Ovis aries: one gene and its partners. The protein of the gene in region 3 purifies or fractionates together with the protein of the main gene of each other region. This does not show direct contact. Links are inferred from orthologs where the notes say so. Each region holds a gene or a part of one and is shown on either strand. Other genes may lie near its edges. The genes, in order: PLEKHA7, SRC and CDH1.

Evidence for each region.
Region 1: the proteins of CDH1 (region 3) and PLEKHA7 purify together in Homo sapiens (co-immunoprecipitation; 3 studies listed by BioGRID and IntAct, with this or other methods). This does not show direct contact. The link is inferred for Ovis aries from reciprocal best matches to the Homo sapiens genes CDH1 and PLEKHA7.
Region 2: the proteins of CDH1 (region 3) and SRC purify together in Homo sapiens (affinity purification with western blotting; 5 studies listed by BioGRID and IntAct, with this or other methods). This does not show direct contact. The link is inferred for Ovis aries from reciprocal best matches to the Homo sapiens genes CDH1 and SRC.

Annotation. Positions count from the first base shown.
Region 1 is NC_056068.1:35,414,913-35,418,556, reverse strand, and holds part of PLEKHA7 (pleckstrin homology domain-containing family A member 7), read right to left. Parts: intron 3,209-3,644; coding exon 3,008-3,208; intron 197-3,007; coding exon 38-196; intron 1-37. UniProt on the Homo sapiens protein: Required for zonula adherens biogenesis and maintenance. Acts via its interaction with CAMSAP3, which anchors microtubules at their minus-ends to zonula adherens, leading to the recruitment of KIFC3 kinesin to the junctional site.
Region 2 is NC_056066.1:66,271,730-66,275,473, forward strand, and holds the start of SRC (proto-oncogene tyrosine-protein kinase Src), read left to right. Parts: upstream 1-1,464; 5' UTR 1,465-1,816; intron 1,817-3,744. UniProt on the Homo sapiens protein: Non-receptor protein tyrosine kinase which is activated following engagement of many different classes of cellular receptors including immune response receptors, integrins and other adhesion receptors, receptor protein tyrosine kinases, G protein-coupled receptors as well as cytokine receptors.
Region 3 is NC_056067.1:35,612,545-35,616,288, reverse strand, and holds the start of CDH1 (cadherin-1), read right to left. Parts: upstream 2,259-3,744; 5' UTR 2,154-2,258; coding exon 2,106-2,153; intron 1,193-2,105; exon of another isoform or gene 1,177-1,192; coding exon 1,062-1,176; intron 1-1,061.

The DNA of each region.
Region 1 (3,644 bases), on a different chromosome or scaffold from region 3:
AGAAGGAATGAGGCATGAAGGAAGCCCCCGCCCTCACCTCTCTGCTGATGTCCACGTCATAGTCTTGTGGTTCCAGGTCCAATTCAGTGACAGGCATGGCCTGCACCTTCAGCCAGCCATTCTCTTCCTTGTCCTTTCTGTCCCCTTGAACAGCCCGTTCCAGCAGCTGCAGGTCAAAGTCCTGCTCACGCTTCCACTGGCAACAGAAGGAGAGGGTGAAATGTAGTCTCTTCCTGACCGGCCCTTTTAGGTGGGTCTTTTGGGCACCAGGGTCCTTGGGAAGTTGGGTCTGTGACTCGTTAGGGAAAAGCTGTATGACCATGGACCTCAACACCGTCTCTGACAGAAGGCAGCAGCGGTCTGTGAGATGGATGCTCCGTGTGTGTGCTCAAACTGTGTGACAGAGAGAACAGGGCCCAACTCCAGACTGCTCATGTCTCTCTGACCTGGCCCCCGGGTGTTCCGACCTCCAGGGCACAGGTCTGTGATCCACGACTTTAGACTTACAATAGTCCCCAGGGATACAGGAAGCCTCCAGGTCCCAGAAGGTGACCCCCAAACAGAATGTGGGACAGAGCTCCAGAGAAGGGGTTTGCTGCTTCTGCCACCTGATAGCTCATGGAAGCCTTTCCTGGTTCTGGAGTCCTATGTCCCAGCTCAGAAACAATGGAAAAACAAAACCCTCTGAGGCCCTGGTAAGCAAGGAGGGTAGCCAAGATGCTCTCTCGTGGGATTTCCCAAAAGGACACAGTGAGGGCTGGGGAGGTACAAGCAGGAGCAGCTGAGGACCACTGAGGCAGGTAAGCTGCTGTGTGCCAGGCATCTATTTAAGTTGGAAAACCAAAGCCGTGTAAGATTTAAATGCTAAATCAAACTCAACATTCCCAGCTCTGTAATGAGCAAGCTTCACAGAGGGAAAGTCTAACCCAGCCACTTTAAGATCCCAGCACAGAGAATGGAGACACATACATATGGCTGAAACTATCACAACATTGTTAATCTGCTATATGCCAGTATAAAATAAAAACAAAACCCAGTACAATGGTTGGGCTCCACTTGGGCCTTCCTAATCACCTGTGGCCTTTGTCCCCACAGAACTCCATGTTGAGCAGGTTGCCAAGAGGAGGTGATGGGCTCAAAGCCTCCCTTTTCTTGTGCAGAAGCCAAGCAGAAACTTCTCCATCCCAGGCTGCCTCCTCCCTCTCTCACCTCATCCACCTCACAGAGCCCCGAGTGGTCACAATCGTCTTTAATGTCCCCTCCGGCCCCACTCACCCAAGCCCCAAACCCATAGCCATAACAGCACATTTCACCCACTCATGCACAAGCTCTCAATACTGACTCTACGTCAACGTAATCGCTCTCAGGTGATGGCTTCCTACCAAAGTATGAAAGGATTAGACAGCTGAAGATTCGGGGATGAAAATTTAATTTAATGATTGATTCACAAAGAATACACACATTTTCTGACACGCTCACCAATGCCCCAAATAGAGACAGGTCCTCACATAAACCCAGCCTGATTGCTTCCACAGACAGAAAAAGTTCACTGGACTGTACAGTGTATCCTGGGGAAGAACCACGCCAATCCATCATCATTAAGCAACACGTTTATTGGCGCTGAGGCAGAGACTTAACACAAGTCTTTTTTAAAGAGAAAAAATTACAAAGTATTCAAGTTACGATTTTTAGATCATTTTTCTACATTTGAGACATCAGGTTGTAAAAACTCAGTTTTATCTCATAAGACATTTACTTACAAAGTTTAAAAGTTACTGGCTTTGCAGCTTTTTAGGATATGAGTGTGCTGGGTCTTATCCCTTTGGTGTCTGAGCTAACAGCTGCCGAGAGGCCCTCTGAATACAGATCATAACGTATCTTGCTACCTGTTCAAGTTATAAAATACTACAACACAAAAAGTTTTCCATAAGAAATTGTGCCGATGGGGCTGGAGGAATTAAAACTGAACCACCTCAGACTTGGCAGAACTTATTCAAACGTGCAGTCTCTGAAGTCCATGCCTACTATCCCAGTATAAGGCATGGACTTTAATAAATTCATCACGCCCAGACCTCTGGCAAAGACCACCGCCCTTGGGCAGTGGGGCTGGCTCAGCCTTGCGGGGCGGCTTTGGGGATAAGTGAATTATGAGTCAGTAAGCCTGCATAAAGGGGGCAGCAGACAGTGAGTCACACATGGGAGTGCTCGCTAGGCTATGGAGAAAAGAGCTGCTATTGTAAGCCTAGTAACAGGAGCACAGGCCAGTTAGAGAATGGTGGATGCAAATTAGAAGCTTCTGTAAACACAATCAGGCAGGATTAGAGAGGCAATGAGCAGTAACGCTAAAAGCAAAAGAGCTTGTGCAATGAATTAGGGAAAGAACAGTCAGGCTAGAGGTCTAGGGAAACATTTGATTTCAAACAATAGAGAAAAATCCAATGGAATGTTTCCAAAAGGGACCTAAGGCGACTGTGGGCAGGGTGCAGTGCCTGGAAGCACCACCAGAGGGCAGCAGGCAGCCTGGCTCTCCGGGGGCGCAGGGCCTGTCCGCACCGCTAGCTGTGGGGGACACCAGGCCCTCAGGGGTGTACTCTGCTCAGTCGCTCCCCAGGGCATCTGCTTGGAGGTTTGGGAGGCTAGTTGACTTGCACTCCTCAAATCATAGCACCATCTTTCTCCTCCACTCCTCCAACTCTGTACTTCCCAAGTCCTGGGTTCAGGTGAGAGACTCAGAATGCCGAAGAAGGGCCTCTCCCTCAAGCTCGACTGGAGACCTGACCGTGGACGCTTCCTCTGGCTCCTGGGCTCCTGCCGTGACAGCCTCACCCTTTCTCTAGTTCGGGGCACCCTCCGACCAAGCCACTGACGCGGCCTGGCTTGTGGACACACAGCCCACGGGGTGTTCTCTGAGCCACTCTCTCGGGGGTGAGCCGGGCTTGGGTCTGGGGGCCTCGGGGAAGCTCTGCTCCCTGCCCCAGCCCCGCCTGCCTGGACCCTCCTAACATACTGAGCCGAGGTCTCCCGGGAGCGCTTGGCTGAGGTAGCGGGCCGAGGGCAGCCCCGTCCTCTCTCCTTGGCTCAGCGTCCTCTTGCGCTCCCGGACCAGCGCCTTCTGGTGCCGCTTCATGCGCTCCAGCTGCTCCTCCGCACTCATCTTGCCCCGCTGGTGGTCTCCTGAGTACAGGCGCTCCAAGGCACTCTTGGGTCTCTGAGGGGCAGGGGGAGCAGACAGGGCGGCTGGGCTGAGACCAGAGGGCGCGCGGCCACCTGGCTTCAGCCCAGTCTCTCTTACACGCATGCACGCACGCACGCGCGCACACACACACATACTCTCGCCTCTAAGCACACTGAGACACATACACACACGCACACACGCACACACACACACTCTCCCTCTCCCCTCTAAGCACACTCGGGGACATGACAACCCAGCCCTCACGGGCCCTCTGGCAGCACCCAATCCTGCAGATGCAGACCCCGAGGCCCAGGCCTGCCCAGTGGGCACACCTGCACCGCGTGATGGACCAGAACTCAGGGTGTGGCTCACTGGGTGAGAGCGGGGAGAAGGGCGGGGGCCCTTGGGAAATGGAGGGGGTGGTGTGATGCCCCTCTTGGTGGGCAATGGGGAAGGCATCATAAGCATG
Region 2 (3,744 bases), on a different chromosome or scaffold from region 3:
GTCTGTGGACATGTTTACTCCCGTTTCATAGGCGAGGGGACCTGGGCTGGGGAAGGTGATGGACTCGTAGAAGGTACAGCAGCTGGGCAACCAGTCTAGATTTGAACCCAGATCAGTCCAGCTTAAGGCCTTGCTCATTCCTGGTCTCCCAGGTACTGTACTGTACCCTGAGGCCCTTGCCTCCCACAGTCTTGAGTTTCCCTCCCTGCTCCTCTCAGGAGAAGTCCAGGCTTCTACCATTTGACCTGGACTGGGCTTTACTTTCCCATCTGTGAAATGGGAAAACTTTCAGAGAAGGAAAACAGAGGCAGATGGTGGCATTTAAAGCTGGATTCAGGCCCACCTTCCCCTGTGCAGTAATCCCAGGAGGACCTGTGAAAAGCCAAAGGCAGGACTAGCACATGTGCTCAGTTGCGTTTGACTCTTTGCAATCCCATGAACTGAAACCTGCCACCAGGCTCCTCTGTTCGTGGAATTTTCCAGGCAAGAATACTGGAGTGGGTTGCCATTCCCTTCTCTAGGGGATCTTCCCGAGCCAGGGATCGAACCCACGTCTCCTGCCCTGGCAGGCAGGTTCTTTACCACTGACTATAATTGCCACTGAATACCTGCTTTGGCCCCTCCTAAGGGGCTTACTCAGAGAAGGCAATGGCACCCCACTCCAGTACTCTTGCCTGGAAAATCCCATGGGCGGAGGAGCCTGGTAGGCTGCAGCCCAAGGGGTCGCTAAGAGTCGGACACAACTGAGTGACTTCACTTTCACTTTTCCCTTTCATGCATTGGAGAAGGAAATGGCAACCCACTCCAGTGTTCTCGCCTGGAGAGTCCCAGTGATGGTGGTGGAGCCTGGTGGGCTGCCGTCTGTGGGGTCGCACAGAGTCGGACACGACTGAAGCAACCTAGCAGCAGCAGCAGCAAGGGGCTTACTGGAAGCCCTTTATAAGTTCCTTATCTGGAACTTATTGGCTTCTTAGTTACTTTTTTTTTTTCTTCTGATGCACTTTAAAATGAATGCATAGCTATTAAGATAAAAATGCTGCTCCTTACCACACTGTCCTGCCTGTCTCAGTCCCCAGTTTGGGAAATTCAGGTTAAGGCCAGGGTCCAAGACCTGGCTTTTGTCAGGTGAGTCCCTTCTCTGTGCCTCAGTTTCTTCATCTGTAAAATGGGGGTGATCATTGGCCTGCCCAGCCCACTTGGTTGGTAGGAATAGATCCTAAAGTTGACCTGAACAGCTTAGCATGGCACCGGGTAAGGAATGAGTTCTCCATCAGTGCTGCTGTTACTGATTATCAGTAATAATTTCATGAGAGGTAGACTTGGGGTCAGTTGGGTGGGTGGGTTGGGAGGAGTTGGGGAGGGTATTTTGGCTTGAGAGCTGATGGGTGGGTGCCCCATGGGAAGGGAGCACTCTCAGGGCGGGGTAGGGGGCGGGGCTTCCGTGGCCGGAGCCCCCGCCCTTCCATTCCCTGGCCGCCGGGACCCCGGGCGTGGGGAGGCCGCGCGCGGGACTCTCCCAGGTCACCGGCGGGGACCCGTCCCGGCACGCTTCCTTCTTCCTCCCCCTCCCGGCGGCCTGCCGGGCCCCTCCTCCCTGCTCGCGCGCTCCCTCCCTCCTCTTCCCCTCCCCGGGCCGCCGCCTCCTCCTCCTCCTCCGCCTCCCTTTCTCTCTCGATCTGTCTCTCCTGGCCCGGAATCCATTCCGGCCCGGGAGCCGGAGCGGCCAGGCCGCCGTGTGCCCGAACCCCTGGCCGTCCGGCGGTCCGTCCTCCAGTGCGTCTGTCTGCCCGGTGCGTCCGTCTGCCTGCCGGTCCAGGTGAGCGCCCCCCGCCCCTCCGCCGGCCCCGGCTCCCGGCCCGCGTGAGGGAGCCCCCCGCCCGGGGACCACCCTGGCGTCCGATCGCTGGGCCGCGGGGGCTCCTGCCCCCCTCCAAACCTCACCCCTCGAGCCAAGCGGCGATCCCGGGGCGCAGGGCGGGCGCACCGGGACTTGTCTGGCGCGGCCTTTTGTTGTGATGCCGCGGGGGGGGGGGAGGGGTTTGGTGGGGGGCGTAGGGGTCTTGTCCTCGCGAGGACCCCCCCCTCCCGCTCATGCTCCCTCTGCGGGCCCCCTGAGAGCAGCGAGCCGGGCCCGAGCCCCCAGGCCAGGTCTAGGCCAAATCTGAAATCTGAACCAGTCGGCGCCGCCTCTGGCCGCCGCTACCCAGCCTGGCGCCCCCAGCCCGGGATGGGAGGTGGAGAAGGGCCGGCAGGGTGGGCCTGGGGGGGCGCCGGGCAGGGGGTGCCGGGCCAGAACACCAGGATCTCCTTGTCCTCGTGGGGCCTTGGGTAGGGCCTGGTGCTGCCGGCCTGGAAAGGACTGGGCCAAACTGTGGTTGGTCCCAGCTGCCCACAGCCCCCAGCCTCCTCTCTGGGCAGGCCCTACCTCCGGTCTGCTCAGAAGTTGGCAAAAGTTTAAGATTTGGCCCCCAGGCCGGGTCCATCTGCCTGCCTGGGCTGGGGTTGGTGGTGGGTTTGAGTCCCAGTGGGGGCTCCGCTTTCCTGCCCTGCTGTGCTTCCTTGAGCAACTGCCTGCCCTCTCTGAGCTGGGGGCCCTTGTCAGGTCCAGCTGTGGGCCTGGCTGAGCCTACTGGGCTGGTGGAAGGACTGGGTGAACAGAAGGGGCTCACCTGTGGGGTAGCAGTTCAACCTCTGGGGCCTTCAGGCGGACTTGAGAGTCGGCAGAGCCTGTGGGGCCCTGGGTGAGGTGTCCCCGGCTTCAGGGACTCTGTCCAGTTGGGGCAGTGGTCTCTGGATCACCTGGGGTGACTCCAGGCCTGGCTTCAGTCAGCTGAGATCAGACTTGATTTTAAGAATGGAGCAGGCTGACGCTGTTGCTGACCCTCATCTTGGCTTTCTGGCTGGAGAGACAAGACCTCGGCTTCTGGTCACACTGGGCTACCTGGGCCAAAGGACCGCCCCTCTGAGTCTGCTTGTGTGCGGTGGGGATCCCCAGGGGAAACCTGTAGGCACTTCTGCAGGTAGGGCCTTGGCATGTAGTAGGTGTTCAATAAATGAGCATGGCACTGGATGAATGGCCTGAAAAAGATGGGCATGAGATGAGATGGCTGGCTCTTGTGGGGCTTATTCCAGAAGAGGGTGGATCGGTGTCCCCAAAGCCACCTCCTAACCCCTTGAGGAGGAACCAGCCTCAGTGCAGTCTTGCCACCCAGCACTTGAGACAACTCGCTTCTCCTTCTGGCCTCAGGTTTGTTCAGTATAAAATGGGCTTGTGAGAATGATAGCTGCTAACATCTATCGAGTACCTCCTAGGAGGTAGGGACTTTTGTGTATCCCCTTTTTGCTGGGGAAGAAACTGAGGCTCTGAGAGCGGAAGTGACTTGACCGAGCCACATAGTTTGAAGCTGGAATGAGAGCCTAGAGCTCAGAGTGCCCGGTCGGGCTGTCCTTGTTCCCTTCCCGTGATGGAGGAATGGGTGTTTCTCAGTATGGGACCAGGCACACGACAGTGTTGGAAGAGACTCGGATGAGTGATTGTGTGGATGCCACGAGGCCCTTTGGGTGAGGTGGTGTGCTGTGGTGATGTGGTCTTTCCACCCAAGGAAATGATTTACAGTGTGTCACCTCTCAGCTGACTGCCTGCCTAGGCCCTCCTGTGTGACTCCAGGGCCTTTGCTCCTGAGGGTTTCCCTGCCGGGAGTGCCCTCTCCTCTAAGAGCTGCTTGTCTGCTTTTGCTCTTTAAG
Region 3 (3,744 bases):
TTTTTGACCCAATAGAAAGCTCCACACAACACAGACGGGCCTCAGAAAAACAAATATGTTTAATCAATCAAACTGCAGTTTGTCTATTAAAAAAAAAAAAAATTGCCTACTGTTGGAACAATTTCCAAAGTTCCAAAAAAATCTTATAGCATGATTGCTGCATTTTTCACGTGACCAAACACTGGAAGAATAAACAGTGAACTCCCTTAGGGGTATTGTGGGTGAGTCTTCCTTTCAAAAAATGTTTCTTTTATTGTTATGATACTCGTCCAATCAACTAAATCAAGAGGGAGGAGAAAGCCCTTTGGTAGAAAATAAGCACCTGGAGATCAGTGAAACCAGAAGAGAAACCAACCTTTCCTTGCTCTCACTCCCGGGCAAAGTGAAACAAACCAAAATCTAGAGTCCTGATTATCACAGTGATAAGACCCTGAAGTACACTGTGTCTGCTTTTCATTCCTGAGTCAGGGCTACCAGGCTTAAAAAAAAAAAAAAACACCAAAAAACCGCACGTGCCACTATTCCTTGGGGAAACAGTACCTGTATAAAAAAATCTTTTTTCATCTCTATGAGCAAAAGCCACAGCCTGGTAACCAAGAGAGGACTCCTCAGTCATCCCAGAGATGCTGAATGGGGCCTGGAAGTCAGAACCTAGATCAGATTCCTACTTTGACCCTGGGGCCAGTGGACTCCACCCTCCTGAGCCTCCCATTTGCTCATCTGTAAAAAAACGGGAATTGCCACCTCCCCCACCACCCTCTTCCCACACATCAGGTTTTAGACGTTGGAAAAGACAGACTTAAAGTGGTCAGGATAATATGAAACACACTGAAGGCCCCTAATAAGTGCCCCCCATAACTAAGTCAACCATACAAGACAGCCCCTCAAACCCAACGTCTATCCTGGCAAAAGTTTAGATCCTCGCATCTGTGTAATCTACAAAGGTGTGTCACCAGAGCCAGGAAAGACGGTGCTCGCCCAGGCCAGCTCGCGGGCGTAGGAGCGCCGTTTCTCCGACCCTGCCCACTCCCACCCCAGGGACACTGGCGGCGCGCCCTCACCTCTGCCCAGGACTCGCCCTCTCTCCAAGTTCCGCCGGGGCACGGTGAACGTGTAACTCTCAGCGCCAAAGCCAGGCACGCAGGGCTCCGGCTCCTGGCAGAGCCACGATGAGACCTGGGGTAGGGGAAAGGTATGAAACCGGGGTGACTTGGTGGGGGGGGGGGGTCTCCTCTTATTCACACCGAAACCAGCAGCGCCTCCCTTCCCTCTGCTGGCACCAGGACTGTGGGAGGGGTGGGCCCGCCCCGCCCACTCCCCACACCCCCCCAACCTCCCCACCCCCTCCATTCTCCCGCATTTCCCCCACCCCCATTTCCCCCCATTCCTCCCCACAGGGCAGCCAGCCAGCCACGTCAAACTCTTTCATTCGGAAACCTGTGGCCGCCAAGCCTTCAGGACTTCTCAGGAGGGAAGGCTGCTGGCTCCCCTCCGGCCTCAGCAGCGCTTTCCTGAAAGTCTCCTTTTCAATTTCATCGGAGGCATCTTTACTCTTCCCAATTCCACTCTCCCTATACCGGGACCGCTCGCACTCCTAAGTCCGGTTCCTCAGACCGCCGGCGCTCCAGCCTCTTCACATCCTTTCTTATCCCGGGGAGGGTGGGGGGCATACCTATTCACTACACTTTACAGGGCAGGTGACTTTATCTGTTGGTTCCGCTTTCCTTTCCTCGTTCCCACTACTCCCGGCTCCGCCCGGACTTACACCGGGGCTCCCCATCCCTACTCCACGCCCTCTACTCCCCGCCCGTCGCCCACCCGAGTACCCGGAGGCTGCAGCGAGGCGCGCCCCCACCTCTGGCTTTTGCGGGAGGCCGTCCGCAAAGCCGTACTCGCCCTTCACCCTCACTGGCTCCCTCTCCCACTCCCTTCCCCATGGAGTCCAGAGCGCGGCGCAGTTTCCGGGCCATTCAGGCCCTTTGGACCCAAACTTTTTTAGAATAAGAGGGAGCAGGGGACGACAGGAGGGAAGAGAGGAGTTTGGGGGCTGGGGCGCGGCTTATGGGGCCGGAAGGCATCCCGCGCAGTCAGGGGACCCAACGTACCTGCAGCAGCAGCAGGAGCGCAGAGAGGTTGCGGCACCGAGGGCCCATGGCAGGCCGGGCGCGGGCTGAGTAGGATCTAGCTGAGTTGGGCCGGGCTAGAGTCTGGCAGAACTTCTACGAACTCACAGGTGCTAAGAGGCTCCGGACGCCACTGAGCTGCGGGGCGCCGCGGGAGCCAGGTGAGCCTCGACGGCCCCGCCCCCGGCACCAGGATTGGCTGAGGATGCACCTGCCGGCCTCAACCAATGAGCGGCGCGGCAAGGCCTCCGCTTCCTCCGCTGACTGGGGCGGACGCTCCGCCCCGGAGCCGCGAGCAGACCGGGTGATCTGAGAGTAGTCAGAGTAACGCAATGGTAGGGGCTCCACGATTCCCGTTACCATTAGACTTGAATACCAGCCTCGCGGTGGCTCACCAACATCTGGCGCCAGAGAGATTTCACCCTTTACCTACTTCAGATCTCCATCGCTTCTTGAATCGACAGATCAGTTCACTGGGCAGAATCTTCCCTTTCAAAGTATCAGTTTCTTCACCTACTAAATGGTAAAATAATCACAAATCCCTTCCTGTGTTGTTGTGAAGTTGTCATACAATTAATTAAGACCAATGTTTCGTGCACCACAAAAGCTCTATGCAGATGTGAGGGACAATAAGTAACGATTGATACTGGGCATTAAAAGTTACTGTGTCACAGGCTCTGTGCTAAGCATTTGACATTAACCATCTTACTTCATCTCAAAACAACACAAGAGTTGTGCTATTATTCCCATTTAATAGAGGGACAATCCAGGCATAAAGAATTTGAGGCCAGTAGGAAGTAGTAGCTCAGATAGTAAAGAATCTGCAAGAATAACTAGCTTCAATGTCCCATGCAAGGGACTTTATCTTTCCTTTTACCCTGGGTTCAATCCCCTGATGAGGAAGATCTGGAGAAGTGAATGGCAACGCACTCCAGTATTCTTGCCAACAGAACTCCATGGACAGAGGAGCCTGGTGGGCTACCGTCCATGGAGTTGCAAAGACTGGGACACAACTGAGCCACTTTGATATATAGAAGACTGGAACCCACCTCCACCGCCTGTTCTATTGGCTTCAGCTCATGTGGCCCCACATAATCTTCCAGCTGGAGCTGGAGGTTTCAATCTGTCCTTTAATGTTGACAGGAAGAGATCCATCAGAGATCAGCCAAACCTGTCATTTGCAAATAACTCGCTTCAATGTCTCATGTAAGGGACATTATCTTTCCTTTTACCCTTGAAGCATGATCAGAACTACAGTGTGTTTAAAAAGAAATGGTAATTATGTGATATGATGGGGGTGTTAGCAATGAGTTAGGTATGTGTTAGCTAAGTGTTAGCTATTATGGTAGTAATCATTTTGCAATATATGTGTCAAATCAACATTTTGTTTCTGATAAATGTGTACAATGTTATATGTCAATTATTTTTCTTTTGCTATAAAAACCCCAAAATGTATTTATTTAATATATTCATCACAAGGGTTTAACCACACTTAATTTAAAAAACAGAAACAAAACAAAAATGACACCACAGATAAGACAGAGTCCTATACAGACATTGAGGCACAGACAGACCGCCTAAGGAAAAAAAGAACACAAGGAGAGCTGGACATCCCAGGTCA